Oreochromis niloticus: one gene and its partners. The protein of the gene in region 4 interacts with the protein of the main gene of each other region in a biochemical or structural test. Links are inferred from orthologs where the notes say so. Each region holds a gene or a part of one and is shown on either strand. Other genes may lie near its edges.

Region 1 (8,279 bases), on a different chromosome or scaffold from region 4:
TTTCTTCTTTGTCATCTTCTTTTTTAAAAAATAAAAAAATTTCTGTTTATTTTTTGGTTTTAGCTAAATTTGTCAGTATCTGTGTGTTTTAATGTTTTGTCACAGCGATATTTAAAAAAATAAACACGTCTCTGGAAGCGTTTCCTTTGGAAGCTGAAGAGGTTTTGTGACACTCAAAGTTTATTTTATTTCATTGGCTCCTCTTGTGTTTATTATTATTATCATTATTATTATTGTTTAGTTTGTTTTCGTGACTTTTTTCTGTTTTGTAGGTCACCTGTTTTGTTTTGTGCATGAACTGTGGCTTTACTGCCCTCTAATACTTCTGGGGTTACTGTGCAATACATAGCTCTGTGTTTCTTTGCTTTTGTTTTTAAGCTCGAGTATTAAAGTGCCATGTCAACTGTTTTAATTCTAAAACTGAACTGATTTAAGCAAATTGTCTGTTAGATGAATGCATGTGACAATCGGTATGAAGCACTTTTATTGGCCCAGGCATTTTTAGCTATCTAAATCACATAAAACAGCACTATACTACAGGAGTGTAGTTAAGAAGCAATAAAATGAACCAAAGTAGACAACTTGCATGTTGTTAAATCGGGTTTAAAAGAGATTAAACAATTTTGGACTGTTTTCCTTAGAGGTCAAAGGTCAAACTTGTTTTTTTTTGTTTGTTTGTTTTTTAGTAGTGTTAGAGTGGTTTTAGGAGCCACCCCTCATATATGTGCATATTAACGGTAGTATGTACATCAGAGAGATGAAATGGTCTTTGGATGAAGGCTATTTGTATTTTTAAGCCTGTTCTCTTTATTAAAATGTTTTGTGGTGAAGATCTTTCCAATAAAAGGGGACAAAAATATCTGTCATGTTTGTAGTTTTCTTAAGTTATACTACATGTTTTTTATTTTGTTCACCTCAAGCACAGCCTAGCAAGTACAGTAAGGGTTTCTTTATACTGTACACTTCATAAACAGTGTTTAATCAGCGCTCAAAAGCTGTTCAAAATAAAAACAAAACAGAATAACAGTAGATTATACATGTGACTTACACAAAATTACGGAATACTTTCAAGTGTCACTAGGTTTTCTGTTTTTAGATCAACAATATAAAATGCTGATTATAAGATCAACAATAAGCAAGGAAAGCTATAAAAGCAGGAAATGCAAATACAAAATAAAAGCAGAGGCATAAAAATTAAAGATTAAAATTTTACTCTTAAATTAAAAAGTGATCATACATGTTAAATTAAAGAAGACATGATGCACAGTAAATATGAGTTGTTTCCTGTTATGTTTTGAAATTTATGAATCATTTTATACTAAAGAGTCAACTGGCCATTTCTTTAGTTACACCGGGTTAGATTCAACAAGGTGCACTCTTTGGACTTTGTTGTCTATACTGACCATAATATGGAGTTGTGGTCAACTGAATGTGCAGCGGACAAATTTGCAGGCCAGCTACACATCCATAATGCAAATATCCAATTCTACTACACCCCAAACGTGTCTTGATGGATTAAAATGCAATGACTTGGCAGGTCATTTGAGGAAAGTGATAGTAAAGTCAGTAAAGTAAAGCACCTTTCAAGACAAAAATCACATATTGCTTCTCAAAATATCAGAGCATTAAAAAAGAAAAAGGGTAAATTATCATGATCTCGTTGTCATATTTAAAAATCAGTTTGAGGTTATTTGAGTGTGTTATCCTTCTGAATGCAGCCATCAGAGGATGGGTACACTATGATCAGAAAGGGATTGATATGGTTAGCAACAATGCTCATTCAGACATTTAGAGTAAATGATGCTTACTTGGTAATAAGGAGCATACACTGTGCCAATTAAATGTCCCCCACATTACACCACCAGTCTAAACTACTGGTACAAATAGGATGGATACTGGCATGCTTTTATTTTGTTTATGCCAGATAAACTAAATGAAAGCATCTGTATGCTGCAGCAGAATTTGAGATCCATCAGCCCAGTCAGTGTTATCCTAATCCGCACAGGAGTGACACCTGGTGCGGTCTTCTGCTGCTGCATGACCTGAACTTCGGAAAGTTGTCTTGACCATGACTGTAGGACTAAATGGATTGAGTTGCTGACGTGTGATGGGCTAATTAGATCTTTGCATTAATGAAACACTGAACAGGTGTACCTGGTGAAATTTAACAGTGAAAGATAGAATAAGGCTACTGTGGGGATAAAAGAAAATCTGACTGCACAAAGTCATATATATGGCACAATTTATCAAATTATTGTCATGTAGTTTAAATACAAGGATCTCAAAGTGACAAGAAAATTCCCTCTTTGGGAAAAAAAAGGGATTTTATTAAACAACACATACGCCTAAAATACACACTAATTATACATATTATTAGATAATAGAATATACGATCGTTTAATATGTAAATGTTATATGCAGCTATATATGAAACTGAATCTGTTTATTTCACTGTCTCATTAAACATACACACAGAAAACACATAGGAAGCAGTTTAGTTGTTAATCAATAGGTGGCAGCAGACAACAACAAACCTCGTGGAATTGTTTCACAGCCCCAACACTACGAGGATGCAAAAGCAAGTCGGTATATATAAAGGAATTAATATAAGGTGTCTGAGTCTGTGAGTGTGCTTTCAAATTTTAGAAAAAAAATAGTTAATTTCTTTCATGTGTCTGCATGGATTTTTTTATAATCGTCATCATCTTTTTTTCAAAATCAAGAAATCGTCTAGCAAGCGGAGGGTGTAGACGAGCTTGAAACCAGAGGTGTGAAGGGGATTAGCATTTCAAAATAAAACCTTTTGCCCTTGCGCAAATTGCGAAAAATGACTGAATATAATGAAATAATAATGCAATACTTACATAATATAACGATATATTGACTTCAGTATATTGCTTTCAGGATAAACAGAAACATATTTTCTTCTTTTGAAACTGCAGTAGAGTACATTTGTCTTCTTTTACCACGACAGTTACCGATATATCACATTGCACTGTCAATGTTCAAATTTCACTCACATCAGGAAAATCCCAAATTATTTTAATTATTATGTAAAAGAGATCAGTGGTTAGTGCCACTGGGATCTTTGATCTCAGTGAGACTAACCTGGTTAAATTAATAAATATAATTTAATAATTATTATTATCGCTTCAAAGTAAGTGAATGTTACTCCCCATCTGGTTTATTTTTCTATTACTACAAAGAGGTCAAAGATTGAACACTCTGGGAGGGACAAAGAGGTTATCACTAATATTTATTTTTAATACTCATTCCATTTTTATTATTTATATATTTATTTATTTAGTAGTTAGTTAGATAGGTAGTTTTCTTTCTTTCTTTTTTACATGTGGATCCCCGTCCTTTCCTGCATTTTTCATATTGAATAAATGATACTTTTATTTTGGTATTAATGGACCGGATGTTGTATTCCTGCTAACCTGACACCCCAGCAGTCGTATCAGAGCCAGGAAACAAGCTGAGCTGTGCCGTGTCGTTGCAGTTCAACAGCGAGGTTAACTCAGTGGTCGCAGAGATCAGCCTTTATGTGAGGATGGGCGAACCCCGAGACATGGTGTATGTCGCCTAAGAAGTCACCAGACAGAGACGGAAGACGTGGAGCTCTGGGGGAATCATCTGGAAGCGTTAAGAGGGAAGGTAGACCTGCCAGGGTGTCACGGTCTTTCTGGGCAGGTAGACGTTATCAGGCAGCCAGACTAGCCGCTCAGCTAGTGTTTCAGCGGCAAGACGCTAGCTTTAATCAGGTTGAATGAACCGTTGCCACAGACGGCACAAAAAAAACGCAGCACGGATACATTTTTTCTAGAAATATAAAGCTATCCCTGTGAAAAGCACATACTGCCTTTTTATTGTTTTCAAGAAGACACCGGTGGCTGCTCGTGCAAGAAGGCTGATTGACAGCTTGTCACAACGGGTTTTCCAGATGTGGAGTCAGCACAAGAAGTGTAGCCGGGCTCTGAGTCGGGAATGGCTGGCCGGAGCAAACTCATAGGTGGAATCGCAAGTCAACAAACTGCAACAGCAAGCCATGCATTTCAGTTTGGCGCTGAGGTGTCCCTGAAAACCACAGCAGCCGACCTGACACGTTGTGCTAGCCAGCTAAGTGAAGTTACCGAGAGGATACTGGAAACTGCACAGGAAAGCGGGTGAAGTGGTGCAATCCGGCGCGCGCGAGGACTGTTTCTACAGTCAGTATGAAGAGGACGGAGAATAAAAACAAAAGGAAGCTCTGCAGTATGGAGCAGCACGACAGTGGAGGAGAAGAGAAAGATGCGGTGAGTAGTAAAAGCCTTTCGATACTCCTTGCTATGTCAGGAGGACGTGTCTCGTGTCCTTGTTCCCTCGTGAGTTCATGAGCCCACAGAAATGGCTGGAAACCACTTAAAGAGCATTGTCCTTTGCTTTCGGTACCTTTATGCAAAACCATTTTTATTAGTAGTTCTGCAGTGTAGACCCTTTTTCCAGAACTGTCCTAATAACTATGGGTTTTGACTTAGATGAGTTAATATATGCCATCATAATTAGTTGGTATTGCTAGTAGTTATAAAACTGGCTGTAAGCATGCAGTCACACAGCAGTGAGGTTGTGTGAAAAATGAAGCAGTCAATATAGAATAAACAAGCAGTTATGATGTCCGTCTGTTTCATCAGCATACTACTAATGAACAGTTAATCCTCTCAGGAAATACACGCTGTCAGTAAAACATGTACAGAGATGCTCTGTCCCTGCAGCTCTACATGTTTGAAAGACCCATTCCCTAATGGAGAAAAGGGACCTAATTCAGGAGCTTCACAGTTTTTGCTCAGTCAGTGTGGATGCTGGCTGTTTCCTACTATGGTAGGTTGTATACATTCTTTGGTTTGTCAGATGAAGGCATGTAATGTGGAGTACTGAAGAAGACTAAAGTGTGCTCTAGCAGCTAATCTGCGCTTTGTCAAAGAGTATGGATTTTGGATTTGTTGTAATTTATCAATAAATAGAAGTAATCCACCACCAACTAACACCAAGTTATCCATAGTGGGCTCATTACTTGGTGTTATTTGGCCTTGTGCTAATCTATTTAGTGCCCAATTTGTTCAACATGTAGTTTAATGCCAGTCTGGGATACCTGGGAAACCTGCAGCTTAAGAAAAAATGCATCAGAACTGGAGGTCAGAGGGGCTTTGAGCTGTGCGACCAAGCTGGTAATTTTATTTCAGGTTTTTTTTTTCAGTTCAGTTATTTGATATAAGTGGTATTGGGGGAGGGTTCATCCCTCCCATAAAGTTATTGATTCTACATATATAAAGTCTGAAAGTCTGTGCATTTGCACATTTAGAGGGTTAAGAGGCTTAAGCACAAAATCAGCGACTCTTTGCCACAAATGTCTACTTTAACCAGTTATTAGCTGTTGGTGGAAAATGCTCTTTAGAAGGGATGCATCAGTATATTGGTTTAAAAACAGGTATAGGCCAGTATTGATGGCTTTCGCAGTACCATATGTCAGAGTATTTTAATAATATTCAACTGGCTAAATGTTCAAAATGTTTTGTGAAGTCCTGAAAGATTTTACAACATTTTCCATAAAGACTTTTTGAAGTAAGAAGTATGAAAAGCATAGCACCGGCTATCAGCCCAGCATATCTGTTATAGTAAATATTGATTTGCACCCACAATTTTACAGTCAGATTTGTTGCATGCCCCCTTTGGTGGTTACTTTACCTCACTAAACCAATAATTAAAATATTTAAGACTTTATTGATATGGGCAAGCCATTACAGAGGACATCATATTTGAGTCCGTAATAACTCATGGTTGCGTGGTAATACTGTACAGTGCAATTCCTGATAGAATTCAGTAAAAATTTATTTTAATGCTGCTAGGAATCGAAATCACTTGCAGCTTGTGTGTTCAGGAGCCGTACTAAGGCAGTTTTATATTTTATTTGTCTTTGTTTGTAAAAGCTATAAACATAGTCCTCTAATAAGAAAACCTCTGTCCAAAGATGAAGTCATTGGTGGAGCTCCAAATGTTTCCCAAAATCAGCCTAAAAGAGGAAATGTCTTCTTTGCAGGCAGTTTAGATTCAGGGGAAGGATTTGGTTTTGGGGAAGTTTGAGGGAGTGAGCTTTATATTTGTATCATGGGAAGAAAGACAGATGTTTTTGTGCTGCCACAGTTTTATTTGTTCTTGTGTGAACCGTAACAAAATGAAGGAACAGACAGGGCGTTTTCATGTTAAGTGACTTATCTGCCTATTTGCTTACATTATGGAATGCTGTGAAACATGTGCTGTATTACTTCATGGTTGGCTGCTCTTATTTTCTTGCAAATATGTATAATTGGGGTTTCTGTAAGATGTGTGACAAAAGCTTACTTCTGACAAAACAAAGAGATGTCCTCAGAGAAAAGCTGCACATTCTAGAGGTCAGAGCTGTGCATGGATTTCTGTTTTTGCTTGATGATGATTTCTACATGTTACATGTTAAAAATAACAGCCAGTTGCCGTCTTGTAAACAAAACCCACACAAATATCTGTTTTTTATGCTTAACGTCCTTACTTTATGAGAAACAGATTATCAGATCATACAGTTGCTCCTGGAGGATCACTCGTCACTGATGTCTTCACTTACACACTGTCCTTTTTACAATAAAACCCCCCACAAAATAACCAACATTTCATACAGTCAGAGGATGGATGTCATTTTCTAACTTCAGCGTGAATTTCAATATGTTGCCAGGGACAGCGGATAAACACATACAAACACCCACTGGAGTGTTGTAATGTGGGACCTGCATACTGACAGTTGGAAGAAGAATGCTTGTTTTAACTGTGGTGACTGCAAACAGTCACCACAGTTAAAACAAACAGGACATTATTACATCATTGAAGATATATAATCTGCAAGGTGTAATCAAACTTCTCCTTTATCCTTTAAACAGATTCAGATTAGGGTTAAATGTAAATGCCATTGAACATTGAATGTAACAAATGGAAAAATGGTAGCTTTCCTTTTTATAATGAATATTTTTGGAACTCCATCTCTTTCCAACATGGTGTGAGTAGTGCTGGGGGAAAAAATGTCAATGGCGGTGATAAATGTAGGCTTTAATATTTGATCAGACAAACAATAATTTGGTCTCAGGCAGTACGTAAGGTTGGTGTAACACTGCTCTTCTGAGAGAGAAAAAATGACAATAACCAGGATGTCCTGATGAGTAAAGCCAAGAAGGAAAATGTATCTGCTGTTCAGGAAGAGATAATACCAAAGAAAGGTCACACATCATCAAAAGTGTGGAAGTGGTCAGTTTTCTATGATTAGACCAAGCACAGATAAAGACAGGTTGCAAGATATAGTGGCGACAGGTCCCAACAAAACCCAGTAACATGACACACTTATTTAAAAAATATCAAAAGTATGCAAAAGAATGTGGATCCTCCAGGGCTTGGAAAGCACGCATGAGCTTCAGCCTCACGTTCTTGATTATTGGTCCTGAGGAAAGGTAGGGTCACAGACCATCTGCTTGAAGTTGGGAGAACACGATTCCATCTGTGACAGACAAACCAGAGAAGCACCTTGGTAAGGTCTTCCTTTGTCTCTCGTCAGCTTCTTCGTAGACATCAAAAACTGGATGTCAACCAATTTTCTCAAACTGAACAATAATAAAACTGAACTTTGGTTGTGGTTCCCAGGTGGCAGCTAGGAAAAGTGGCCAATCTGCACCTCTATCTCACCTTTTCCACAACTTTGGTGTCATCCTGGGCTTCCTCCACTCTCCTTAATTTTTACTACATATTAAATCCATCTCTAAAACTGCCACCTAAACGTGTCCAGGCTCTAGCCAATGCTCTCTGACTCTTCAGCTGAAACCATCATTGATAACTTACAGTAGCCCAGGTGGGAAGTACTTAAGATTTTCCTGCTTGGTCTGTTTATCAAAGCCTTGGACACACTGTAGTATGTTCAGAACTCAGCTGCCAGAGTTCTTACCTAAACACGTCACCCTAACACTTACGTGCTGGAGTTTGGCGATGATGACGGCTAAGCTACCAGTCAACTTCCGTATCTCTTATCGAATCCATCTCCTCATTTACAAATCCCAACATGCTTTTGCTCCTTAGAATTTTTCTGATCTTCTCTTCTAGACCTCATGTTTTCTTCTGCATTCTGCAGATAAAGGCGTAGTCTCCACTTCTAAAGCCAGTCTTTTAGGGAAAGAGGCTTTAGTGCTCCTGCACCATCTCTCTGGAACAGGCTCCATCCCTGGGTATTTTCATCA
Region 2 (7,854 bases), on a different chromosome or scaffold from region 4:
ATAAATAGTACTGCCAGTATCAGTTAGCTACAGTGCATGCAGAAACACAAGATAATAAAATGCTTTTAATCCAAGCAGCATACTCTCTAAGTAGAGTGAAGCAGATAGGGAGGAAGGGGAAAGAGAGAATGCTACCAGTCTCTGTGACATAAAAATATGATTTGCCTGGCACTGGGAGGGAGGATTAGGGACTGGACTGCTGTACAACACACACAGATATCCTAGATTTTTAATCCCGAAACACGCTAACAGCCATAATTATACAGCTACAAGAGATTAGTGTTGCAGAAAAATGACTGAGTGACAACAAGAAAGTCAGAAAAACACACACAGAGAAAATACTTAGGAAGAAGAAGGAGACTTCAAATTCACACCCCCCAAGAAGCAGAACTGGAGTCTGATGTCAAAAGTTCTGAAAGGGAGGGTTGAAAAAATGAAGACAAACAACAGGACAATTACTGTGAAAATGATTAAGAGGAAAAATGGCTAAAACCATTTGAGGAGTACAAAGTGCAGCGCGAAGGTGGAAAGAGGAGGAGAGACTGAGACTTGCTGACAAAGGTGTGGGAGACAGCGGGAAAAGGGAAAGAAAACAGAGGAAGAAGAGAAGAGCAGGCCAAAACACACAGAGTGAGCATGTTCTTAGCAAAGAATTTCATTGACACATGCACCAAACAAAGACTTTAAACACTAACAGACCAAAGCAGCAGAGCAGGGAGGCACTCACATCTCAGCACACCTCAGATGTTCCTGCTCTAGCTTCATAGCACCGCGTTAGATCTATGCTGTAGCCTGCAGTCCACCTTCCCCGATATGTAACTACAGCAAAGCAGACCTCAACTGCTGTGTCAGGTCTGAGAAACACAGCATCCTTCCACAAGGATGATGCCTTTATAAAGCAAATAACTGTATTATTATTAAAACAAAGTCAGAGCTACTAAAAGGAGACTTGAGAGTCAGTTCTTCAGTGAACTGTTGCCTAAGATTTATTGACTCTAATTCCAGCATGATCGGCTCAATCAGACTCGTGATAGCAGAGCTAATGGAGACACAACAACATCACTCGCTACAGCGGGGATTCGAGACAGTACCATACATCACGCTTAAGAGCAAACAAACTACAGTCAAAACAGTGTAAACTGATCTTTACTGTGAAAATGAAAATAGGCCCTTTTCTTTGATTTATTCAAGGCATGTACCCGCATGAATCTTTTCTTCAGACACATTTACTTCTAGAGGTAGTCATCATCATAGCTTCCATTTTCTGAGCTGAAGATGGTGACAGTTCCTCTATCCATACCCTTCTAGTTCTAGCTGGAATGGGGCTATCTTCTAAAGAAGAGCTGCATGTGAGGGAGGAAGTGTTCAATGAGGAAGAACAGTTTAAACGAAAGGGACGCGACGGCTCAAGCTACGTGCACAGCAATATACAAGGTGAACAGGAGATTTACTTGTGTAAAAGATAAGAATGATAAATATGATGAAGGGGGCAAAACACACAGGAGGGTTGTGCAGTGAGGGGTAATATACGGACAGGTGGAAGCAGATTAAAAAGGAAAAAAGGTCCAGGGAGCAAAAAAAAAAAAAAAAAAAAAAAAAAAAAAAAAAAACACAGGACGGCATCTCTAGCACTCTCTCATATAAACCCACACACACACCTTCGACATCTCTCCCTCAATCACAGCTGAGACGATCCATCCATATGACTGCTGTGCCTTTTGAATAATGGACCCAATATGAAGCAAGTCACTGAGAAGATTTGGTTGTGTGATGGGGGTCATGGGGTTCCTGCCCTGAGAGCAGCGCCGGGAATCAACAGCAGTCATAAAGGAATCACAAGACGGAGTCATTTGCATTTTACACTCACAACTAAATTGGAAATGACTCTCGCCTGCTCCTGTCTGGACCATCACAATTCATATCAGATATGCTTTTAATTTTTTATACAGCAATTATGGAAAACTGGACCTCCATGGCTTTGTCTAATTTCCCAAGACTTTTAGATGTGAAAATCATATGGTCCTTTCATGATATAAAAATGACTGAGCTCTCGATTATTCTTTCATGACTTCAGGGGGAAAACCTCAAATGTTATGAAAGTGCTGTTTCATAAAAACTTATCTGTCTCCGAGTTCATGAAAATCTTAACACATTATTACAGAACTACTTCTTACAATAAATAATGGAGCTAACTGACAGCTCAAGGGTGAGATGGACTCGGAGAGAGATAAGGCAGCATTTGTTCGTGCTTTTTGTTCATTTTTCCCAAGCAGAGCGCTCGCTCTATGGGATATCACTGACAAAAACATATTTTTCTGCAGCTAAGATTTTTGCCACAGTCACAGTATAAAGATGTGCTGCGTTTAATGTGTGCAAGTGTTGAATAAAACAGTCACTTCTCGTGCCAAGACTGCTATCAGGCGTAATTGTAAAGACAGACAGGTGCTTTGCAAACTTCTCCACAGTACCTGCTCCAGGAGTTTTCTGTATCTCTGCGTGGCTTGCTGGATGAGGTCCCTCACGGTCCATCCCTCCTTGCATGGCACCACCACACCTGTCTGCCCAAATGTTACTGTCACCTTCATGATGGCTGCTCTCCACTTTATCCCAGATCCGAGCCCTCTGGATGCAGATGATGAGCAATGTTCATAACAATGCAGGAAGGCCTCCCGGAAAGACTTGACAAGAAGGCAAGGATGTCATCAAATACCAAAAATGTAAAAATACAGTACTGGCTGTAGGTGGCTTGAACAAAGCTGCATCCAAATAAAAGTTAGATTTCTAAAACCCAAACTGCTTTCCAGAACTCTCCACAGGCATTAGAGTCATTTTGTGATCTCAGTACATCCAGCTGCCTTCACATGCAAAGATAACCATGGCTGTCGCTCCTCAAGCACAGCTAAGGATACCACTCAGCAGGTCTGAACACAGCTTCCTGAAGCGTTAAAGTACTGCACTGTTACTGTTTGCATGATGGAGCTGAGCGGTGTGTCCTGTCATGCCTCACGGCGGCTTAACCGACTCTAGTTAACTTGTAATAAAGTTAGCTGTGTATCAGCTAGCTGCACTAGCCCCGGCTATGATAACAAACCCGGGGTGGACGCTTTCAGTCTGTCACAGCTCTTCGATCTCCACACGCTTCCTCCACTATCACAGATGCCGTGTTTCTACGTGTTTTACCAGTCAGAGAAAAGTTTATCCAAACTTTCACATAACAGCTAGCCGACGCTGGCTCCTTCGCTAGCTAACGTTAGCAACCTTAGCTGAACTTTGGAGGGAGGGATGCAGTCGGTCGGGCATCATTCCACAAGTTTTCCCTCTCCCAACTTTCCTTTTTTCCAAGCGGTCACTTGCATCCACTACATCCCGGACAGGCACGGTAAGAAGGCGGGGACGCAGTTGTGATATTCGGCGGTAAACTGGGGGTGTACTGGAGCAGGTAACGGAGCAGTAAAACTGTGTTTTGGAAAAGTTTTGAGATTCCTTCACTGCCGACCGCTCCTGACCAGTTCCTGACCAGCTCCTCCACCGCTTCACGCTGTTCACTTTCTTAAAGGGGAAGTGCTCCAGTTAATGCTGCAGCTGGGAGTAATGCACAGGGATCCAGATTCCGGTTGTAGCCTACAGTGTTAGGATGGTCAACTTATATTAACGAGTTAACCAGACCAGATGTTAGAGCAGCAGACTGCTAACCCGCAGGTTTCTGCTTTCTCTGATGCTGGCGTCCCTCATATTACTGCTTTTTATATGAACCCTGACAATAATGATAACAACAAGAGCACAAGCCTCTCTAAGGCAGCTCCCTCTCTGCAGTATTTACTTTTACATGACAGATGTTTACTTTGATTACTCAAACATTATGTAGGAGCAGGTAATCGATAACAGGTATTGATTTGTAATAACTGGACATGAAACACTTGAGTTTATATATGGTGTTATCCTACAGTGTATTTCTAACTAACTCGGCTTCGCTTTCTCTTGACAATACTTTCTTTAAAGGCATAACACACCTTTGGAGTCAGCTGTGAAATGTAAAAGTGAGGTTAAAGGTCAAATGCGACATGATATCTGGATGCAAACTACAATGTGATATTGAGAATCCCCATATACCTCTATCATTTCCTGAATGTTGGCAGTATAAACAAACACATTAGACTTTTAGCATCGCTTTAAAGATAAAAGAAAATTTATGAAAGTTTGACCTTATTTGACCTTAAAGGAGAGGTCAGAGGTTCAAGGTAACGTGATACTTAGAATCCACATATATACTGTATTTTTCCCTATATGCCTATATGTTGTCAATACAAACAGTAGCAGTAAGAAGTAAGTAAGTAAAATGTATTTATACAGCACTTTTTAAGACAGAGTAGTTTACAGGTAATATAAAAACATATCAGACAAAACAACATATTACACAAGAACATTACCCAAACGCCTGCATAAATATTTGAGTTTTCAACTGTTTTTTAAAAGAAGCCACAGAGTCCATGGTGCGTAGAGTGGGAGGTAAACTGGTTCACAGTATTGGTGCTAGGGTTTGGAAAGGGCGTCTCTGGAATAGCCATCAGACCACCATCAGTGGATCTAAGGATCCAGTTTGGAGAGCAAGGGTGAAGAAGCTCGATGATATGAGTGGGGGTCTCACCTCGTAAAGACATAAAAGAGTGAGTGATTTTAAACTGATATCTGAAAAAGCATAGTTTTAAATAGCTCTATATACCATTATTTGACCTTCAGTCTACTGACTTTGAAGCATTCAGTTCAATTCAATTCAATTTTATTTATACAGAATCCAAATCACAACATCAGTCGCCTCAAGGCACTTTATATTATAAGGTAGACCCTACAATAATACATACAGAGAAAAACCCAACAATCATATGACCCCCTATGAGCAAGCACTTTGGCGACAGTGGGAAGGAAAAAGTCCTTTTTAACAGGAAGAAACCTCCGGCAGAACCAGACTCAGGGAGGGGCGGGGCCATCTGCTGCAACCGGTTGGGGTGAGGTCAGAGGTCAATTTTGACATAATGTAAATCTTGATACGTCACTTTATATGTGTTGATAACACACACCACACTTGTAAAAGTCATAGTTTCTAAGTACGCTGACCTTGATGACCTCGGTGGACGTAAGAAAATTTTAATGGATTGTTAATCTACAGCCCTACAAAGTTTTATCAGAATTAATTCAAAACTTTTTGAGCTGTCACGTATGCAGATATTATGACACACATAACCTCCTTGCAAGAGGTAATAAAGTTAACTAGACTGGATGTTTGAACAGTAAGTAATCTAAAGACTTTTGGTTTGTCCTGGTGCAGATGCTAATCTGATCAGTTTTGCAGTATTTGGCTGAATCTGAGCAGAGTGTAGTCCTGCACACGTCACAATTCATCCATCATTCTCATTCAAATTAACTATGGTTTCATCTGTCCAAAAACATTTTGTTTTTCAGAACACTGAATCTTATCAGGCTCTTTTACATGTTTCTGTTCTCGAGTGTAACCAGTGGTTTGTGGCTTGTTGTAATCCTTCTGTATTTACATTCATGAAGGCATATCTTGCTTGTAGACTTTGGCAACAATAAGTCTACCTCCTTGTGGCTGTTGACTTAGTTAGAGGTTGTGAATGTCAGAGTCTTTATTTAGGCTGGAGAGCGATACAAAACAAAAGGCAGCAGGAGACTAACTGGACTACACTGGGAAAACTAAAACACTGGAACACTTAAACATGAATACCTGAACATGACCCATGAAGCACAGACCACCCAAAAATAAACAAGGGGGAAACTCACACAATAAATACACAGAAGGGTGACAAGGGAAGTGGAAACACATGGGGAACACAGCAGGAACAAATTAGGTGAGACGAGACAGGAGGAAGAAAAACTGAACATCCTGAACACGGAGACGGGGCTGTCAAAGTAAAACAGGAAACACAAAGATGCAGACTAAGAAACGCAGCTTGACACAAGAGCCAGGAGGAAGGAACGCACCTGGATACTATACGGACTGAAGAGACAAAGAAGGGAAAAGATGGAAACAGTTAAGGGAGACGAGACGGGGAGGGAGGGGGAGAGAGTGAGGAATGAAACACAAGGAGAGGAACGTGAACTGAAAAAGGGAGATGAAACACAACAACCCAGCTAAGATACACAGAGGTCGGGGGAGCGATATGCACAGAGACGTAATTAAGTAACGGGGAAACAAATAAATTCAGTCCTAAATTATACAAAACTAAATCATTACAACTCTTACGGTGCGTTCACACCGAACGCGATAGAGGCGGCCAGAGCGTCAGGTTTACATGTAAAGTCAATGGAAAGAGCGCGATGACACGTGATTGCACGTCCGGCGAAAATTCGGAAGCAGATTTGCGTCGCGAAAATGCCAAAACTCGTGAAACGCTCGTCAGTGTATCGCGTCTGGCGCGTTTGACTCTCGAAAAAAAACCACGCGCGTGAGTTTTTGTGTTGCATTTTGTGCATACGCGTGTTTCGCCTCTACCGCTCGAGTTGGAAAATCTGAACTCCGGCGTCAATTCGCGCCGCGACAACCAATCAGGAGCCTGGTGACATAGCTCTGACGCCTATACTGTCCCGCTATTTTCCCACTGATGTACAAATACCTTTCCGCTAACAAGATAAAGTGTTTATTCAGAGGACATCTGCAGGAGAAAGTGGAAGAGCCTCAGGGACACATAATAAGGAGAAGAGGAGAGAGAAGGAGAAGAGGAGTGGGTCTGCAGCAGGATCGGGGAAGAGATGGAAGTTCTTCGCGGTCATGGAGTTTCTGGACCCCTTCCTCACCCCGCGGGAGACTAGCGGCAATATGGTGCGGACCGTGGAGAACTTCCCCCCGAGGACCAGGGACAGCCCGGAGAGGCAGCAGGGGAGTGTCAGTCAGAAGGACAAGGTTTACAGTGAATTAATGTAGGCAGTTAATTTATGCGTGTTGTCATATAGGAATATATTTTGTTTATTAATAAAACAGTATACAGTAGTCCCGCTGTTCACCCGTCACATTTCGCTGATTTTTGTTATTGCACCATACAGCTTTCAACAATGCGCATTGCATTCTGCAGCCTGATTGACAAATCTCCTCCGTGTCGTGTCTCCTGCGCTTGCCAAACTTATCATGTTTGGTTTTGATAACCATCACGTCCAATAGAAAAAACAGCACAAAAACACTCATAACTCAAAACTTCCTCCCACATTTCCGGTTCACGCGCGTCAAAATATGCAATTTTGACGCGCGATGGATTTTTCTTGGACACGCGTTGAGGTGCGAATGTGCACACGTCAAATTAGGGGCGTTTGGGGCGTTTTCGCTCGCGTCTATCGCGTTCGGTGTGAACAAGAAATCACAAAAACACAATAAACTCCAAATGCTGAGTCAAATGACCCAGAACCATGACGGTGAAAGGCTTGTTCCCCCCTTAACCATGGAAATAAGTCTGTCATCTGTGGAATTTTTGGTGGATCTTTGGTGTTGCTGAGCTGACCAGTGCATTGAAAATTTTTTTTAAAAAAAGTACTAGATTGTTGATTTGGCCACCCCGAAAGTTGTTGCTGTTCTCTGTAGTTTATTTTGTTTGTCTTTTTTCTTTCATTTATTCAATTCCTAGACAGTTCAAGCCAAGTTTTTCTTAAAACCCCACGAAACTATAAAAATGTGTCATTGTCCAACAAATGATAAACCTAACTCTACAGCGTGGCTACCTGTCCAGGATGTGAGAGCTGGGATTCACTCCAGTATGGATGAAAATGGATTGATGGAAATGCTGCTGAAATCAATGCGGTGTTCAGACAGATGTTGTTGTTTGAGCAGTGCTCAATATTTAGCAAGAAAAA
Region 3 (7,920 bases), on a different chromosome or scaffold from region 4:
CACCTGGGTGAAAATCAAATTTCAGGATGTGACACATCAAATTCACCAGGGAGGATATGAAAAGTGGCAGGTTAGCCTTCTTAGACTGTGAGATTTCCATCAGTAATGGGGGACATCTAAAAGCTGATGTGTACCGTAAACCTACACATACGGGTCAGTATGTAAGGTTTGACTCTCATCATCCACTGGAGCACAAACTGGGTGTCATCAGGAAACTACAACACAGAGCGAACACCATCCCCACTGACACAGCGGCCAGGGAGGCAGAAGAACAGCACATCAAGAAGGCCCTGAGTAAATGTGGTTATCCCAGCTGGACTTTTGTCAAAGCTGGGAAGGCGCCGAAGAAAGCTCCAGCCAATCCAGGAGAGAAGGACAACCACTGACTAAGCGAAAACCTGTAGTGATCCCGTATGTGTCAGGAGTATCGGAGCAGTTGAGACGCACTTTTTTCTCTGTGGCTTTTAAACGCCAAAACACGCTGCGCCAAAAATTAGTCCACCCCAAGGATCAGGTCCCCCGACACAAACAGAGCAACATAGTGTAGTTGATCAGTGGTTGTTGATCAATGGTCATGAGAATTTGCATAATTAAGATTAAGGAACTGACCTCACAGCCCATTGTTCCTTCAGTGGGCTGGTTTCAGTCATTATGCAAATGTACTGTTTATAAGATTGGGGAAACCTGCAGTCAGCTGAGACTGAAGAAGTCACTTGGATGAGTGACGAAACGTTTCTCCCACTGAAAACGCTACGTCCAGATGAACAGAATCAACTTTTGGAGATTGTGGTCTAGACAACCCAAAATGTGATGTCCACATATGTGGAGGTTAAAGAATATAGGACAGATTTACTGAGTGGGGTAAATATTATGTCACATTATTACATAATTACAGGTTGATAACAGTGTTCTTTAATTTATATGCAAAGATGAGGGCTGTTCAGTTCAGTAAAAAGGCACAGCTAAGAACCGTGTGAATTAGTGCTTTAAAAAATCCCAAGACAGGAGCATGAGAGAGATTGATGAATGACTTTTAACAAAAATAATCAAGTGTAAGCTCAGGTTTCACATGTGTTTCTCTCAGGAAACAACAAGGCAGTTCAGGTAAATGAGGGGGGGATAAAGGAAAATCTGTATGCTTTTGACATGAGAAATAACTGTCACTGGGCACTATGTAAAAGGTTCTGAGGATTAGTACTCAGGTTGTGCCCAGTATTTATCCGGAGGAAAGCTTCATTATTACAAACGGAAATCTGTGTGGAACTGCTGACCAGAAAAATACCAAATATTATTGAGCATTACACCTCAAGCTGTCCTGGTTACTATGTTACGGCACCGTATCTGTAAATCACTTAAAAATCGCATTCTAATAATGGCAAATGCAATATTTGTACAGTAATCTGACACCTGCATTTTCACTGACATTTATTTTATTCATTTCAGATTTAGCAGGTGAGTCGCGCACTGTGTGCACACCGCTGAGAAAAGCCCCAGCTCAGTTCATTTCTGCTCGAAATTCCGATTATTATTGAGGCGCATTAAGTGGGGCTCGCCTTTAAACACTCACCGTGAGGACTGCGTGTGTCGCCAAATTCTGCATTCTGCATTTTAGCCAAATCCTCATGTACTTACAAGATAGGTAAAAGTAGATGTTTTTGCAGATTGGGTGAGTAAGGAAATACTCCTTTCCCTATATCATTTTTTTAATACAAAAGAGTGAAACATCTGTTGGATTTCTGGGGTGTGGCGAATTTCACTTGAAGATGAACTCTAGCTCACCCCCGCCCCCATAGGTCCCGTTCAATTGCCATTAACTCCGGTGTCACATATCCTGTTGCACAAAAAGTGACTCATACATAACAGGAAGCAGCTCTGAAGGGCTAACAGCCTGTATCCAGGAAGCAACAGTAGCAACATCGAAGTAGTTTTTCAGACTGAATGGTAATCAGTCCAGAATATAGAATTAGGACTCTTTTCAGGTATATTTTTTAACAGGGCTCAACATCCATAAAGGTTTTGATCCATGCCTTTCCTGTTGTTCCTGTTGAATTCTCTCGGTTTAAACACACTCCATGCATGGTGATCTAAACATAGAGAGATGACTGGTAATATTGCAGCTGCAGCATGGTACTGAGACAACTGAAAATAAGGTGTGGTTGTGCGGTGTAGGTTTTGTGGCCTCTGCCGCTGACAGTAAACCAGGTTTGGGTTTACGCTTTTTGTTTGGTAGTGCGCATACCATGCATACCTCGTTTCTGAACACAACCCAGTCGAGGGGGTAGTGCCATATAAAGCTTAAAAGTTAAAGGGAACCACCCACATCGGTGTGAAATGGGGGCAAAGAAAGTTTCTCTCAAATAACAGGTTATGTTAAATCAAACAGGCTATTGCAGGATTTCTTAACTCTCTTAAGATAATAAAGCTACGAAAGAAATCTGTGCTCGTTTTCATGCAGATACCCTACCAGAGGAGGCGTCTTTACTTCTAAGAGTATGTTCTGCATAACAGACGCGTTTAACAAGCGTTTAACTGAGTAATTAAAAGGTTTTCCATGTCAGATAGCGGACATACCGCGCCTCGGTGCTATGCCTTTGTAATGAGCTCTATTCCAAGAATAGACCGCAATAAACACGAGCTGCTAAGTTTTACTTACAATCTTTCAGAGCAACATATCATTCTGAGGCGGGATCTTACCGATTTCTGAGCCAGGAGTTTTATTTCACAATAATGTTAAAGCTTAAAGTTCCTCGGCGCATCCCCTCCGTTATCCAGCGATATCTGTCTGCGGGCTGTGGGTCCCACGCCCCACACTGCCGTATTTGGTAAAGTGCTAAAACCTCCTCCACGTCCAGCAAAATCGTCACAGTTCCTCTTCTCAGAGATGGCTTACAGCTCACAACATAAAGGAACAAATAAAAAGGTCATTTCTGCCATGTCATGCTCCTCCCCAGAGATGCTTATACGTGCAGTTGTATCGAATAGCTGCTGTATGTGCAATGAAGAATGATCGGGTATGGAAACTCGTTACTGCCACTAAATAAATAAATTAATAAATAAATTAACAGGCAGAGGTAGCTCAAAAGCGTGAGTTATGTCGTAATTTTGGGTTATTGTGTTAAAATGCTCACTTACTGACAGACTATCTCGAAAATTCAAGTTACTCCTGAGTAATTTGATATGTCAAGACTCCTGAGTGGAATTTTACAGACAGGAAGCTGTAAATGAGGCTGGAAAGAATCACATCAAGCATTCAGAAAATCATCACAGGGGCCTCCCAGGGTTGTGTCCTCTCCTCTCTGCTCTTCTCCCTCTAAGCAAACTGCTGCAACTCAAAAGACCCGTCCGGTAAAGTCGTGAAGTTCACAGATGACATGTCATGTCCTCATCGAGGATGGTGGTGAGCGTGCATAAAGATGTGGGGTTGAACGGCACTGCATCTGCTGTAGAATTCTTCAGATTTTGGGATCCGCAGTCTCCCAGGATCTTAAGTGAGGACATACCAGAGGATAGACTTCCTGCATCAGGTTAAAGGTCAGCCTGGCTCAGGAGCTGTTGATCCAGTTCTACTGTGCAATAATCCAGTTTGATCTCTGCTCATCCATTACTGAATGGTTTGGATCAGCCACTTAACAGGATAAAAATGGACTACAACAGACAGTCAAGTTTGCAGAAAAATTCATTGGTGTTGACTTGATTCGGGACTACACTGGAGACCTATCACACGCTGGACGCAAGCTGTTCCAACTGCTCCCCTCTGGTAGGCGCTACAGAGCATAGCATGCCAAAACAACCAGACATCTGTACAGTTTCTTTCCATAGGCCACACTCTGATGAACACTTAGGTCACTCACATATTGTCTACTACTAAAATATCCAGCGTGCCTGCTACTGAACCAAAGCATGCTGTATTGTTTTGTTTCTAACTTAGCTATGTAAAAAACCAGTGTGCACATATACTCAACCAATAAAGGTGATTCTGATTTTGAGTTGAATCAGATTTCTGGTTATTATGTCAACATTTTTATTTCGATTGGCTCAGTATTTAGACTTACTGTCTTGAAATTTCAAGTAACTTCTAAATAAGTCAAAATTTAAAGATACAGTTTTTTTGGACACAATAATCTGACATTTTAATATGATAGCTCAGAATTTTGAGTTATTATGTTAGAAATTGAAGAAACATCTGAGTAACATTTAAAGAGCTTTCTTTTACATAATAACTCAACATTTTGAAATAGTATGTCAAACATTCGAGTTAGTTATCTCAAAATTTCAAGTTACCTAACTCAAAATTTTGAGTTACTAAGTGAGTGGTAATGGTAATTTGGAGTTATTAACTAATTTTGTGATATGAACCCAATACTTTGACTTGCTCATATGAAAAAAAAATCTTCATAGAAAGAAATATAAGAAAATATTTAAAAATATATTTTCCATAATTTTTTAATAAGATGCTATTAATTCTTTATGGAAATATGTTTCATAAAAAATCTGTGGCAAAAACAAGCTGGAGTGTTTGTGACACAGATTGATGGAAAAATAAATATTTATGTCAATGATTTAAAAATATATTTTTATAAAAAAAAAAAAATCTTTCCATGAACGGATGCAATTCCAACTTATCCTGTCTGGTTACAGTCCGGTTGTAGTACGCAACCCTGACCAAACGAGGGCGCTGTTTACGCTCTGTGTGCTCTGTCTACGTCGTGTGATCCTTGAGGATATGGTGGTGGATCAGGAGCCAGTCAAGACAGCAAGATAACAGCACAACATACAGCTCTATGTGAAGGACTTTGACTGGAGAGGAGATAAACATATACCACGACGATTAGGAATTAAATCCGGGTTCTTGTGGCAGATCACGAGAGAAGAGCAGATCCTGCTGTATCCGCTGTGTTTTTGGAAAGGAGACCTGAGGTGGAGCTCTTACTGGAATCGCTTTGCCTTTTGGCTAGCTAGCTAATATGCAACTCTGCGTGTGAATTTGCATGAAAACAAGACTGGTGGATATAACAACCCGGGCCTTGCATGGACTCCAGTTTCCCCTCTTACTGTGATATCCACCTGCTCGCATGCAGCTAAAGTCATGCTGGTCTTTCGTCTTGCAGACATAGCCGGTTAGCAGACTAGCTCGGAGGCTCGGCAGGTGAAAGCCGGGCACGCAGCGCTTCGGTTCGCCGTGAGATATAACGCCATGCCGCAGGTTGAAAGAGGCCGATTCGTCGAGCTGACTTCACCGAGCTAACGCTAGCTGGAATTAGCAGGCCTCTTTACGAACCTGTTATCATCTCCAAGTCAGCTAATTGCTAAAAGCCACAGGTGAAAGGCGAGGAGCACCTTTCGCTTTCTTTCTTTGCTGTGCTTATTTGATTATAAGCTCCAACTGCAGGGTTAGCCAATGCCAAGTAATCTGCTAATTGGCTAGCTCTTTAGTTAGACAGTAGCGTTATTGCAAAGCCATTTGTAGCGACTGGTTTTGTTGTTGTTTACACTGTTAAGAAAAACAGACTGTTTTCTGTAGCTTACAGCTAGCTCGGAGGAGTGATAATGCTGTTTGTAAACGTATATATATTTTTGCTTAACTAATGCATGCTGTTGATACTTGTGTATTGAGTAATTTGCACTAGATAGCCACATACACATCACTACAGATCATATTATATTCACTTTGTGGTGGCTTTCCTATTTTTAAGCATTATCAGCAAGCTGAATGAGCAGTGCTGATTTGAATGGGATTATTTAGGCTGGGATCTCTGCTGAAGCCTCCACATGTAAACAAGTCTGAGTCAAGTGAGTGTCAGGTTCGCATTAGTATTTCTTTTAATTGCACGTAATCAACGAATATCCAGTTAATCCTCTGAATATTATGTTTAGGCAGTTGCTTTAAATCTGACACAGACACTTAAAAAAAACAAAAAACAACAACAAAAAAACCCCAACATGGGATGTTGTTGACCTCCTGGAGCATAGCCAGACATATCAGCCCATTCATTCATGATTGATGACCTTTGTGGAAGTAGGTTGTCCTTTATCCATTTGCCACTACTGCGAAATCTCAGCACCAAGCTACCAACGATCTGTATTTAATTTTAACCACTAATGTAAAGGAGTGAAGACAAACCTTGGGAGATTTGAGCGTTTATAGTTTTAGCAGCACTTTCCTTTAAATCCTACTGAGCCTAAAACTGGAGCCACTGGTGTGAAACATGAAGAGCACTGTGTCTGATCTAAACCCGCAGCCCTGTAGCGTGGAGATCTGATCAAAGCGCAACAGAAAGGCTCCTCATTGTACGGACTGAAAGTTGAAGAGGAAACGGAGATCATGGTGGTGATAACAAAAGCAGCCCAGTGACAGCTTTGAATCCCGCACCAGGAAGCAGAGGAGTGTCTATAAAGGCTGCAGACATGAGTCTCCGCCAACCCACCTCCACGCTGGACAGGTAGGAGCCTCACATCCGCTACACCCAGACAGTTTATGTGGGTAAAGGTACGGCTCTTTACGCCTCGCTCCAAAAAATGTGGTATTCCCAGGTGAGCATTGTTTTTATCTGACGGATGCTCAGTGAGGCCACTGGAAGAACAGCTCAGACGGCTTGTTGACTTCAGAAAAAAAGCAAAAGATTGCACAATAATGTTCATTTATGTCATTCAATCTGCATCTCCTCTAATAAAACACTGGATGTAGTGCACCTGTCTTGTTTGTTAATACCGTTCGTCACCACTTTCACCATATATCCCTGCACTGTGCGATCGTCTGTGTGATGCATATTTGTTGTTTATCATGTGTCTTTCCTCTTTCTCCTGCTGTATACTTTTTTTTCCCCCCCCATTTGCACGTGCCCATTACCTCCCACTGCTGTGTCTCTGTGTGTGTCATGTGACGGCAGGGCAGCCAATAAGACAGACAACCAACTGTTCAGGTAGGACAGCTGCCCTGTGGTCACTCATGTCAGGGTTTGGGGGTTAGTGAAGCCTACAGATTGTACAGCTGTGGCAGCAGATTTCTCAGCGTTTCGCTGCTTGTTGTTTCATTTCTTTGGAGACGTTAGGAACCCAACATACAAGAAAAAAAATTAATAAAAAAAATTTTGTGACCTCGTTACGTGCACCTGCTGGGGTGCATGACCCATACACGAACACTTAATTTTAAGTGATAAAGAAGCTCTTTGAAATCTTTACCTAAAATACTGCAGGTTTGTCAAAGTGGCTTCTGTACCACACTGGAAGTATAGCTCTGTGCTATGCCTATGTCATAACAGCTAACCCTAATGATACCCCTCAATCTAACCTACAGCTCCAATGTTCATGACCCTGGGAATATAACTACATGTCACCATCGACAGGTTTAAATGCTGGCAATGGTGTAGGCTATGTTGTAGGTGCTATGTATGTTAATTGCAGAAGTCTCAATCAAACATCAGAAATTGAGAGGGTTCCTACTCCTAATGTGTCAAGTGTGGAGCGAACTTGAATAACTGGGTAGCTATAAAGCCTTGATTATACTCAGACAGCTGGAGACACCACAGCTGAATATAATTTCTCCTATCCTTATTTGAAGTCCACCATGTGGTGCATGCGCGTAGTAGGTGCATTTAAATGTCCTTCCATCTATCCATCCATCCATCCATCCATCCATCCATCCTCTACTGCTTATATGGGGCCATGTCACAAGGTAGCAGTCTAAGCAGAGAAGCCCATCCACCTCCTCTAGCTCATGTGAGCTAGATGTAATCTGTCCTACCCAGGTGCATCCTCCTGGTTGAGCAATCCTGGAACACCTTACCCAGAAGGAATCCTGTTCAGATACCTGAATCACCTCAGCAACTCCTTTCTTTGTCAAGGTTATGCTGGTAGTGTCTCACAAGGCACGTTGGTCCTGGGTGAGGTACCTTGCCCAGGATAGATGTACCAGAGCTTATC
Region 4 (8,167 bases):
ACCTCAGGTCAGCATAACAACACAATCTAAGTAGTCACTTCTTTTTTTTCCTCTTTTCTTTTTTTTTTTTTTTTTTTACCTCTTTGGAGAGTCTAGTAAAAAGATCCCCTCCTCTGAGGAAGTCCAGGATCAAGTACAACTTCCCTTCAGTCTGGAATGCTACAGATGCACAAATTCACATTTAGTTCAACTGTAAATCAGGAAGCATGAGTAAAGTTTCTGGAATGTGAAGTAATAAAACAGTAAATCAAGTCAGTACATCAAATAACATTAATAAGAGGGAAGGGAAGCAAGGGAAGCAGAGTCTTATAAAAGCATCAGGCTGACTCACCATAGTGCAGTTTGACAACAAATGGGTGATTGACGTCTGCCAGGATGTCTCGCTCCATCTTGGTCCTCACACGGTCTCTGACTGAAGGCCAATGATTGAGGGTTAGTGTGGCGTTATAAATCTTGAATGCATACTGTGTCATACTGCATACTGTACATAAGCACAGAGTATGGTAAATGTACTACAACACACCAAATGCTGGTACTGATGAGAGTACAATTCAACTTGGACTCATTAGGCTGCAATAGGAGAGGATCCTCAAATTAAAGCATAGCCAAACTTTTAAATAATGGGGTCAGTGCTGAATGTTAATGATGACCTAAATTTGGGGATTTTGTGCATGCAACTGCGACTCTGAGCACAGTAGATTAACTCAGCTGCTGCTTAAAAACTTCTGTTCACCATGGGCAGCCAATCAGAAGAAAGCTGACTTCAAGCAAAAGGGAAGGAATGTAAAATAGCGATTTTCAGACAGAGGGTGACCTTAGGAGCTGCACCCAGAATAAGGCGAGTAATGATGAATTTGACCTGTGAGTCATGAAAAGCTGTTAAAGAATAAAAACGCGGAGCTTTAAATGAGAGTAAAAGGTCCCCGTTAAATTTGCAAGGCTGCACAGAACCACCCACATGATTTTGGGAGACGATGAGAAGAAATCTGATGCCCCGATGTTTGCAGAAGGTGAGACCACAGCACCTGTTCATAGGAACCCACTGAAAGCAGTGGTGGTCTTACTATGCACACATACCACTGCATGTCATAGCTGTCTTTGTGTTACAGGAAATTCATACACCCTTTTATATGAAACTAAACAACCACTTGAAAAATGAAGTTGCCAAACACGAAGCCTTTTCAAATCAACATTACCGGAAAGGTGAAAGGTGCAGCTCTACAAAAAAAAAAAAAAAAAAACAAAAAAAAACCTCACTCACTTTTCTTTGGGGGTTTTTTTCCTGTCAATGAAGCCAAAAGCCAAAACAGAAAAAAGCAGCAATTAAAATTTCACGACCACATCCAAGCCCGATGCTGCTGTACCTTTTAGTGTGGCCTTCTTAAGGACCTTCATGGCATAGAGCTGGTTGGCATCGGGAGGAGTCACCTTTCGTACCAGGAACACCTGCAAAAGAAATTTTTTTTTTTTTAAATTCCCCCCAAAAACATAACAAACACCAAAAACACTGTTAAGGATGCAACGATTTTTGTAGGTTGGGGAGTAAGAGTAGCAAAGGAGGAAGAGAAAAATAGACATGCAGTCAAAATAGAAAGAAACCGAAAGAGTAAAAGCGAATTACCTTGCCAAAGGATCCCTGTCCCAGGACTTTGAGCAGTTCAAACTGAGAGGCATCAGCTTTCTCTGAGCCTTCCTTGACCACATGGGTGATGTTGATCTCTTTGATGTCTCCATCTTCCTAAAGAGTGAAAAAAAAAAAACGGATGGAGGGAAAGCAGTCAGTGATCACAGAACGACAGCAATGCTGCACAGCTGCAAAAAAACCTCAGAAAATGTCACAAGCCGCTTGCTTATGCAAAGATAACAGTTGTCCTGTGGAGGTGCCTCCTGCTGTAAATAGCATCACATCAATTCAAAACATTTCAAAAAAAGAGGAAGCATGGTAAGAAGTGAGATGTGCATGTGAGCACAAACAATTGCTTATCGATGCGTTTATGTGCTTTTAGCATACTGGAACTGGTGGTGTAAACGTTCAGTGGAAGTAGATCTGTGTAAAAGCAAGTTCACAGCAAGCGCACTCTTACAACTGGGTGGAGCCCAGCTGGCACCGCTCACAGCTCCACCACATGAACACGCGCAGCTGACCTGGTGTCAGCCTCACCCAAAACTCAACAACAACAACGATGCAGAGAAGAGTTTTCCCCTCCCTTGATAATCTTCCTTTAATTTCACACCTCGGGCCCTGTGATGAAGCAAAGTACAGTAGGTACCCTGCTGGGAGAATTTTAGACTCACCAGTGCAGTTTCAGGGGAAAGACTTTTTCCCCACTTCTGCCTATGAAATCCAAATCTCAGGGATCAGAAAGCAGAACATCCGGGCTGTCCTGCTCCTAATTTCTCCTTTATAGGCATGTTCAGGTTTACACTATTACCATGGATCCTGAATAAAGCTACATTTGGTAATTTATTTGAAAAGCAAACAAAAAATAATAAAGTGCAATCAGCTGACCGTTGCATAATCAATATTTCAAAGAAGTGACGAAAGATATATATTTTCAGCAGTCTCTTCTTTCAGCTTTTTAAAAGTTTCTACAAAACAACAGCCACCGCCATCACCACAGACCACTGCAGCCCGGGACTTTATTTGACAACAGGAAACCAGAGTTGGCTGAACACAGCAGGCTTTCAGTTGCACCTTGTTTTCTGAGCAACCACGACAAGAGCGAATACAAAACCTCGTTTGCACTTTGCTGTGCTGATGAATCCCTCTTTTCTCCTCATTTTCTTAAAACTCAGTTTCATTAAGACGATGCCACTGAACGCCCTGTCAACGACTTAACTACTCAAAGTTGATCGAGATGTCAATATCAGGAGGTGTCACTTTACCGTCCAGTGGTTCCGCGGTGGAGGTAAAGTGCCAGTGTCCTTGTCCGTTGCCGCCGTGGGTCTGTAGGTGTTACAGTGAGCAGGGCTGCCAGTCAAGGATTTGTTCTTTTTGAACAGGTAGATGGACAGCATGCGAGTCAGGTTGAACTTTCTCTTGTCCTTCTCCATCTCAGCATTTCCCAGAGTGTTGTATCATCCTACCTTCATCCATAACAAGGTACACACTCTTCTACCTCTCATATAATCATCTCAAATCTCACCTCATCTCACCGAGAGCACACTTTAGGCTCGTTTGTGCTTTCATGTTAGGATTCGTTGTGTGGACTGCAGGTAAATATAGAAAAGTCTCTCAGCCTCTGCCCTTTTGTCGACTGCAGAGGCCTTCTGCTACATTTCTTTCAGTGCTTCATCTTCATGTTCTCTTCCATTCTGTCTCCGGTCCTTGCTCTCTCCCTGCCTCTGTGTCTGTCTGATTAGACCGGTGTGCCTTCGGTGAATGACTGCAGCTGAAATGAACTGGAACCGAAGCGAGCAGGAAGGAAGAGCCTGCTGTATTCTCACAGTCCTGCACCCAACTTCTTGTCACACTCACACACACACACACATGTGTGCGGCTGAAAGAGAGAGAGAGCGAGAGCGAGAGAGAAAAAGAGAGAGAGCAAGCGAGCAACAGGAGTACACTGAAACTCAAAAGACGCACAAAACAGAGAAAGAGATAAAGAAAAAGGAAAAAAGAAAATGCCGATTAAATGCTTTCCTGAATAAATGTGATTAAAATAACCCAACGCTTTATTTGCTTGTATTATCAGTAATTTCACAGACTTAAGAACCCAACTCTGTGCCACTTCCCTTTACCCATAATTCAACACAGAGGCCAGCGTGGAGGAGGATGGCAGAGAGAGGATGATGTGTCCCCTCTCGGTGTCAACACACCAGAGAGGATTCAGACAACTCACTGCCTCTGGATGACAGAGATTTTCCTGTCTGTGGCCAGGCATGTTCCTCTCTTCCCCCTCTTAACAGTCCTGTTCCTGCTCATCCTGTCTCCTAACACAGCTCTCGCTGCTCGAAAAGTGGTCTTGAGATCCTCTTACTTTCCTCCATTGCTCACTTTATTGCTGTTTATACGGCAAATACTTCTTTAACCTGAGAGAATAAGCCATTACGCGCCTGTATATAGAGCATGAGTCAACTCCTCTTGACCAAAGAGCAGCGTTACTTGGCTGGCAGCGAACCTGCACTGCAGCCTGTGCTCAGAAAAGGTTATTTGCTTAACAATTTTGTGATGAGAGAGTACATTTCCCAGAGGGTGGGGAGACGAGAAAAAAAAAGAAAAAGAACATACAATCTGACATGGATGAAGCAGGATGCAGAAGTAATGTTTGTTTAGCGAGGGAGGAGCTGCAGAATGAATCGATTTAAAAGCAACAGTACACAGGTGGTGAGAGCTTACCTGGGCTCTAATAGTGGCATAGTCCCTCTCTATCCAGGAGATATGAGACTCGTTCTAGGAAGTGTTTGAATGGAGCAGTTAACATGAGTTACGTAAAACATGACGGGTTTTGCAACAGGTACATTCGTACCTGTTCATACAGATTTGCTGCAGGTACACCTCATTAACACACAATCACACACACACACAGAAGAGGGTAGAATAGGGCCACATTAGTGACAGGAAACTTCTCTTCCCTCCTACTTCTCACTTCCTCTTTTCTTGAACTGATCTCACATCCTTCCTGCTCGATAACTAGATAACCAACTACACAGGAGAGCTGAGTTTACAAGCATGACAGCTGTTGCAGAGAAGAAGCTGAAATTCAGTGTTATGACTAACTATATATAAAGGTTCTCGTGTTATCTGGAATCTAGAGTACTCAGGAACAGCTGTCTTTTGAAAGTAAGTCACATGGTGTGTGGGAGATTAAAAAAATTAAAAAGAAAAGAGTATTCACACTTCATGGCCTCACACTCATTTTTTGTGGTTTTGCAGATCAGTTTCAGTTTGATTGCATTAATACCATGACTTTGCCAAAACGCAAAGACGGAAAAACAGAGTATCTACCTTTTAAATTTGCTACACCGGTTGAGTGAAAAGGCAGGATCTTCCGTGAAGCAGCATTAAAAATAACATTTTTTATGATTTTTGAGGGTGGAGGAGGTGGAAGATCCTCCATTCACATCCTCCTTTGTTTCCTGTCATTTCACAGCTGGGAAGATGCAAACTCTCACATCCACCCTCACAGAGGAAACCCCTTCATCCACTCCCAAAATATCACACAACACACTCGCGCGCGCGCGCGCGCACACACACACACACACACACACACACGCCAAGCACTCCCTAAAGCTTTCGGCAAGTCCCCAGCACATTCTTCACCCAACCACACTCACACGCAGCTGCCCACTTCACAACAAGCAGAGGTTTATAACATGCACACATGAAATAAAAGCATCTACTTGCCTCTGGGATGCGGTTTTTGGTGCGGAATAAGAACCTCCACATGTCTGTGTCCAGATACTTCCATGTCACTGATGCTGTCACTGGGTGTCAGTGAACCTCTGTGACAGTCACACTTAGACACTTGCTTCTGTGTCAGTTAGCCAACAACTCTGTATGCAATACCGCAACAGATACAACCTTCCTGTATGCTAAGCAAAATGGGAAGTGAAGTTATAAAAAATGCATACGAGCAGGGGACCGATTAGCTGTGGACAGCATAGAAGGAAAAGGCTCAACTCAAGCAGGAAATAGCTCTTTCTCAATGGGAAAATGAATCACAAGTCTATACAACAGCTACAAGGACAGGTTTATGGAGACAATGAGAAGAACTTGAATCTTCTGTGTCATTTTAGGCAAAAAGTGGGGAAACTGACTTCATGCTTTTGCTTCAGTTTGAGATTCAAGATAGCAATCATGCAAGGTTTTCAATTTCCGTTGACACATCATCTGACTAAAAGTCCAACAAAGCCTGAAAAAGGGCAGAGTAAAAGTTTAACAATAAGAGAATCCTACAGTCATGATAATCTTCGGTTGAATCAAAGCTTAAACGAGCTAACACAAATGCTTCTCTGAGTCCGCTTATGCAACATTTGATAACCTTTTCAGACTGCTAGAGAACAGATGCATCGACTGTGAGAGATAGATATGGTGTAATGCCCTTTCATTAACACAAGGGGCCAGTGCAGGTCTGCAGTCGGTCCACTGGTAGGTGTTCCAAAGAAGGATGTCATAAGAAGGAGCTTTAGCCAAGTAAGGGCATGCTCACATTGTTAGCTCATGCCTCATCCAAATCCCAGTGTTGGCTCTGACACCAATTACAGTAAGGGAGACAAAGTGGGACAGAAAGGAAACATGTGGGAGGTGATAGGCTGGAGTGCTGTCCAAACACTGTCCATTCACAGCAGCAGAGGTCACACCAGTTTAAACCCTACAACAGTCACGTCTTGCGTCAAAGCAACGCACCAAAGCTCGAAATGATGGCAAAGTTCAGAGGAGAGAATCATTACAAAAAATAAGACAAGAGGAAGAGACAAGAGGAAAAGAGAAGTCACTGGTCAAATGGTGCTTGAGCCTGGAAGAAGGAGTTAATTTAGGCTGTTGCTCTCTTAGTGTTTGTGTCTTGCACTGTAGCTTCTCCTCCTTCCTGGAAAATGAAGCGCAAGCACCTGTACGTTTTCAACTGCAAGACAGCTCCGACTGCTCGGACAGAGGATGACGAGTGAAAGCGGGAAGGTCCAGAGAGGGAGACAGAGCAGTCTAAACATTCATCTGTAAAAACAAATACCCACACTAGACTTTGCCTGCAAGAGCAAACGCACTCAGAGGAGTAAAAAAAAAAACACACTGCAGCGGTACCCTCACAATGACGAAAGATTCTGAGATTATATAAGAAGACAAAAAGAGACTGTAGGCAGCATGGATCATATTTTTAGGCATTTCTAATAAAAATGCTTTAAGGTTATAAGCAGGAACGGCTACTTTTATTAATGTCTAATAAAAGTCCCTGTACTGAAATGTTGCACCCTCATTTAAATCTGCAGCTGCATAATCAGTTATGATTGAGATTAAATCAACTTTTAATGTATAAAATGTCTAAAAATTGTCAAACACTGGTACTTAAAGCTGAGTAATATGTATGTGAATGTAGAACTAGTTTCATTTAAAACTCATGTCTTAGTAATATTGGCAAATATTCCCATCACTTGCACATGATTAACTAATCATTCAGTTCAAATCTTAGTGTACAACCCTCTATGGGTCATTAATGAGAAGACATTTTTTTGCTCTCGCTTCATCATTTATTGCTTATTTAAGGAGGAAGACTTAAACCATCAGAATTCAAGCCACAATCTAAAATCATGACCACTTAAAACGCCCCTTAAGTGCGACACATACTGTCTGTTCTGACTTTCACCTGGACCCGAATTTTAACCCTCATAAGCAAGTTCCCATGACTTGCAAACAGATATATTGGGTTTCACAAATGATTACACAAAACTCATTTTTCCTTCCACATTTTTCCATAAAAGGGCTCTTGCCTAAGTGCTAAGCAGCACTTTTGTGTTGAAAATGATAAATGATACGAAACGATGACGATGGCTCCCTTTTCATCAAATCCCAACTGTTTTATACTAATTACTGGTTTTCATGCCCATAGCCTTGAAGAGAATTACATATCATTAATAAATGAATTATTAACCACTTTTAAAAGTGGTTTTCTGTTTGTCAACTGTTTCGCACGAAAATTACAGATGTTCAATAGCCTGGCATGTTTTGAGAAAGAAGAAATGCATAAACACTGTTTAAAGTGAGATATTCAGAGCTCTACAGTGTAACTATGCATATGCACTCATGCGGGATTTCAATGCAGGAGGTCTAAAAGAGTTTTGTATCCGACAATCACATCATGAACTCGGGCTAGAAAGTGGCTCTCTGTTTTTAAATCAGCCAAAGTATCTTCCTTCTCCTCTTTAATATCTGAAGGTGGGCACCAAAGAACGGGACTATATTTTGGAGGGCAGGGAAATCATTCAACTAGTTCCTTTCAAAGTCAATTTAACACCTTTGATGGACAGGCTGTTCCTTCAGCACACCTTTTCACATTTTTAAGCCTCTCCGTCTGCTCTCCTTCATTTTGTCCTCTCCCATGTCCCATTTGTACTCTATGACCTCCACCAACACCTGCTAACAGCCGAGACTGACAGGCTGGTACAAAAAAGGGAAGAGGGTGAAGGAAGGTTGGAAAATGGACATTCACCTGACTCCAGTCAAATCCTTAGT

Evidence for each region.
Region 1: the proteins of rps6ka1 (region 4) and mast2 interact in a test that uses a peptide from one of them, tested with the Homo sapiens proteins (2 studies listed by BioGRID and IntAct, with this or other methods). The link is inferred for Oreochromis niloticus from reciprocal best matches to the Homo sapiens genes RPS6KA1 and MAST2.
Region 2: the proteins of rps6ka1 (region 4) and pard3bb interact in a test that uses a peptide from one of them, tested with the Homo sapiens proteins (2 studies listed by BioGRID and IntAct, with this or other methods). The link is inferred for Oreochromis niloticus from reciprocal best matches to the Homo sapiens genes RPS6KA1 and PARD3B.
Region 3: the proteins of rps6ka1 (region 4) and arhgef11 interact in a test that uses a peptide from one of them, tested with the Homo sapiens proteins (2 studies listed by BioGRID and IntAct). The link is inferred for Oreochromis niloticus from reciprocal best matches to the Homo sapiens genes RPS6KA1 and ARHGEF11.

The regions. Positions count from the first base shown.
Region 1 is NC_031981.2:24,654,199-24,662,477, forward strand, and holds the start of mast2 (microtubule-associated serine/threonine-protein kinase 2), read left to right. Parts: upstream 1-4,719; 5' UTR 4,720-4,734; coding exon 4,735-4,857; intron 4,858-8,279. UniProt on the Homo sapiens protein: Appears to link the dystrophin/utrophin network with microtubule filaments via the syntrophins. Phosphorylation of DMD or UTRN may modulate their affinities for associated proteins. Functions in a multi-protein complex in spermatid maturation.
Region 2 is NC_031987.2:2,518,697-2,526,550, reverse strand, and holds the start of pard3bb (partitioning defective 3 homolog B), read right to left. Parts: upstream 3,597-7,854; 5' UTR 2,586-3,596; coding exon 2,469-2,585; intron 1-2,468. UniProt on the Homo sapiens protein: Putative adapter protein involved in asymmetrical cell division and cell polarization processes. May play a role in the formation of epithelial tight junctions.
Region 3 is NC_031967.2:26,816,420-26,824,339, reverse strand, and holds the start of arhgef11 (rho guanine nucleotide exchange factor 11), read left to right. Parts: upstream 1-4,676; 5' UTR 4,677-6,405; coding exon 6,406-6,440; intron 6,441-6,887; coding exon 6,888-6,920; intron 6,921-7,920. UniProt on the Homo sapiens protein: May play a role in the regulation of RhoA GTPase by guanine nucleotide-binding alpha-12 (GNA12) and alpha-13 (GNA13). Acts as guanine nucleotide exchange factor (GEF) for RhoA GTPase and may act as GTPase-activating protein (GAP) for GNA12 and GNA13.
Region 4 is NC_031983.2:14,341,725-14,349,891, reverse strand, and holds the start of rps6ka1 (ribosomal protein S6 kinase alpha-1), read right to left. Parts: upstream 3,457-8,167; 5' UTR 3,055-3,456; coding exon 2,887-3,054; intron 1,739-2,886; coding exon 1,622-1,738; intron 1,447-1,621; coding exon 1,365-1,446; intron 413-1,364; coding exon 332-412; intron 160-331; coding exon 80-159; intron 1-79. UniProt on the Homo sapiens protein: Serine/threonine-protein kinase that acts downstream of ERK (MAPK1/ERK2 and MAPK3/ERK1) signaling and mediates mitogenic and stress-induced activation of the transcription factors CREB1, ETV1/ER81 and NR4A1/NUR77, regulates translation through RPS6 and EIF4B phosphorylation, and mediates cellular proliferation, survival, and differentiation by modulating mTOR signaling and repressing pro-apoptotic function of BAD and DAPK1.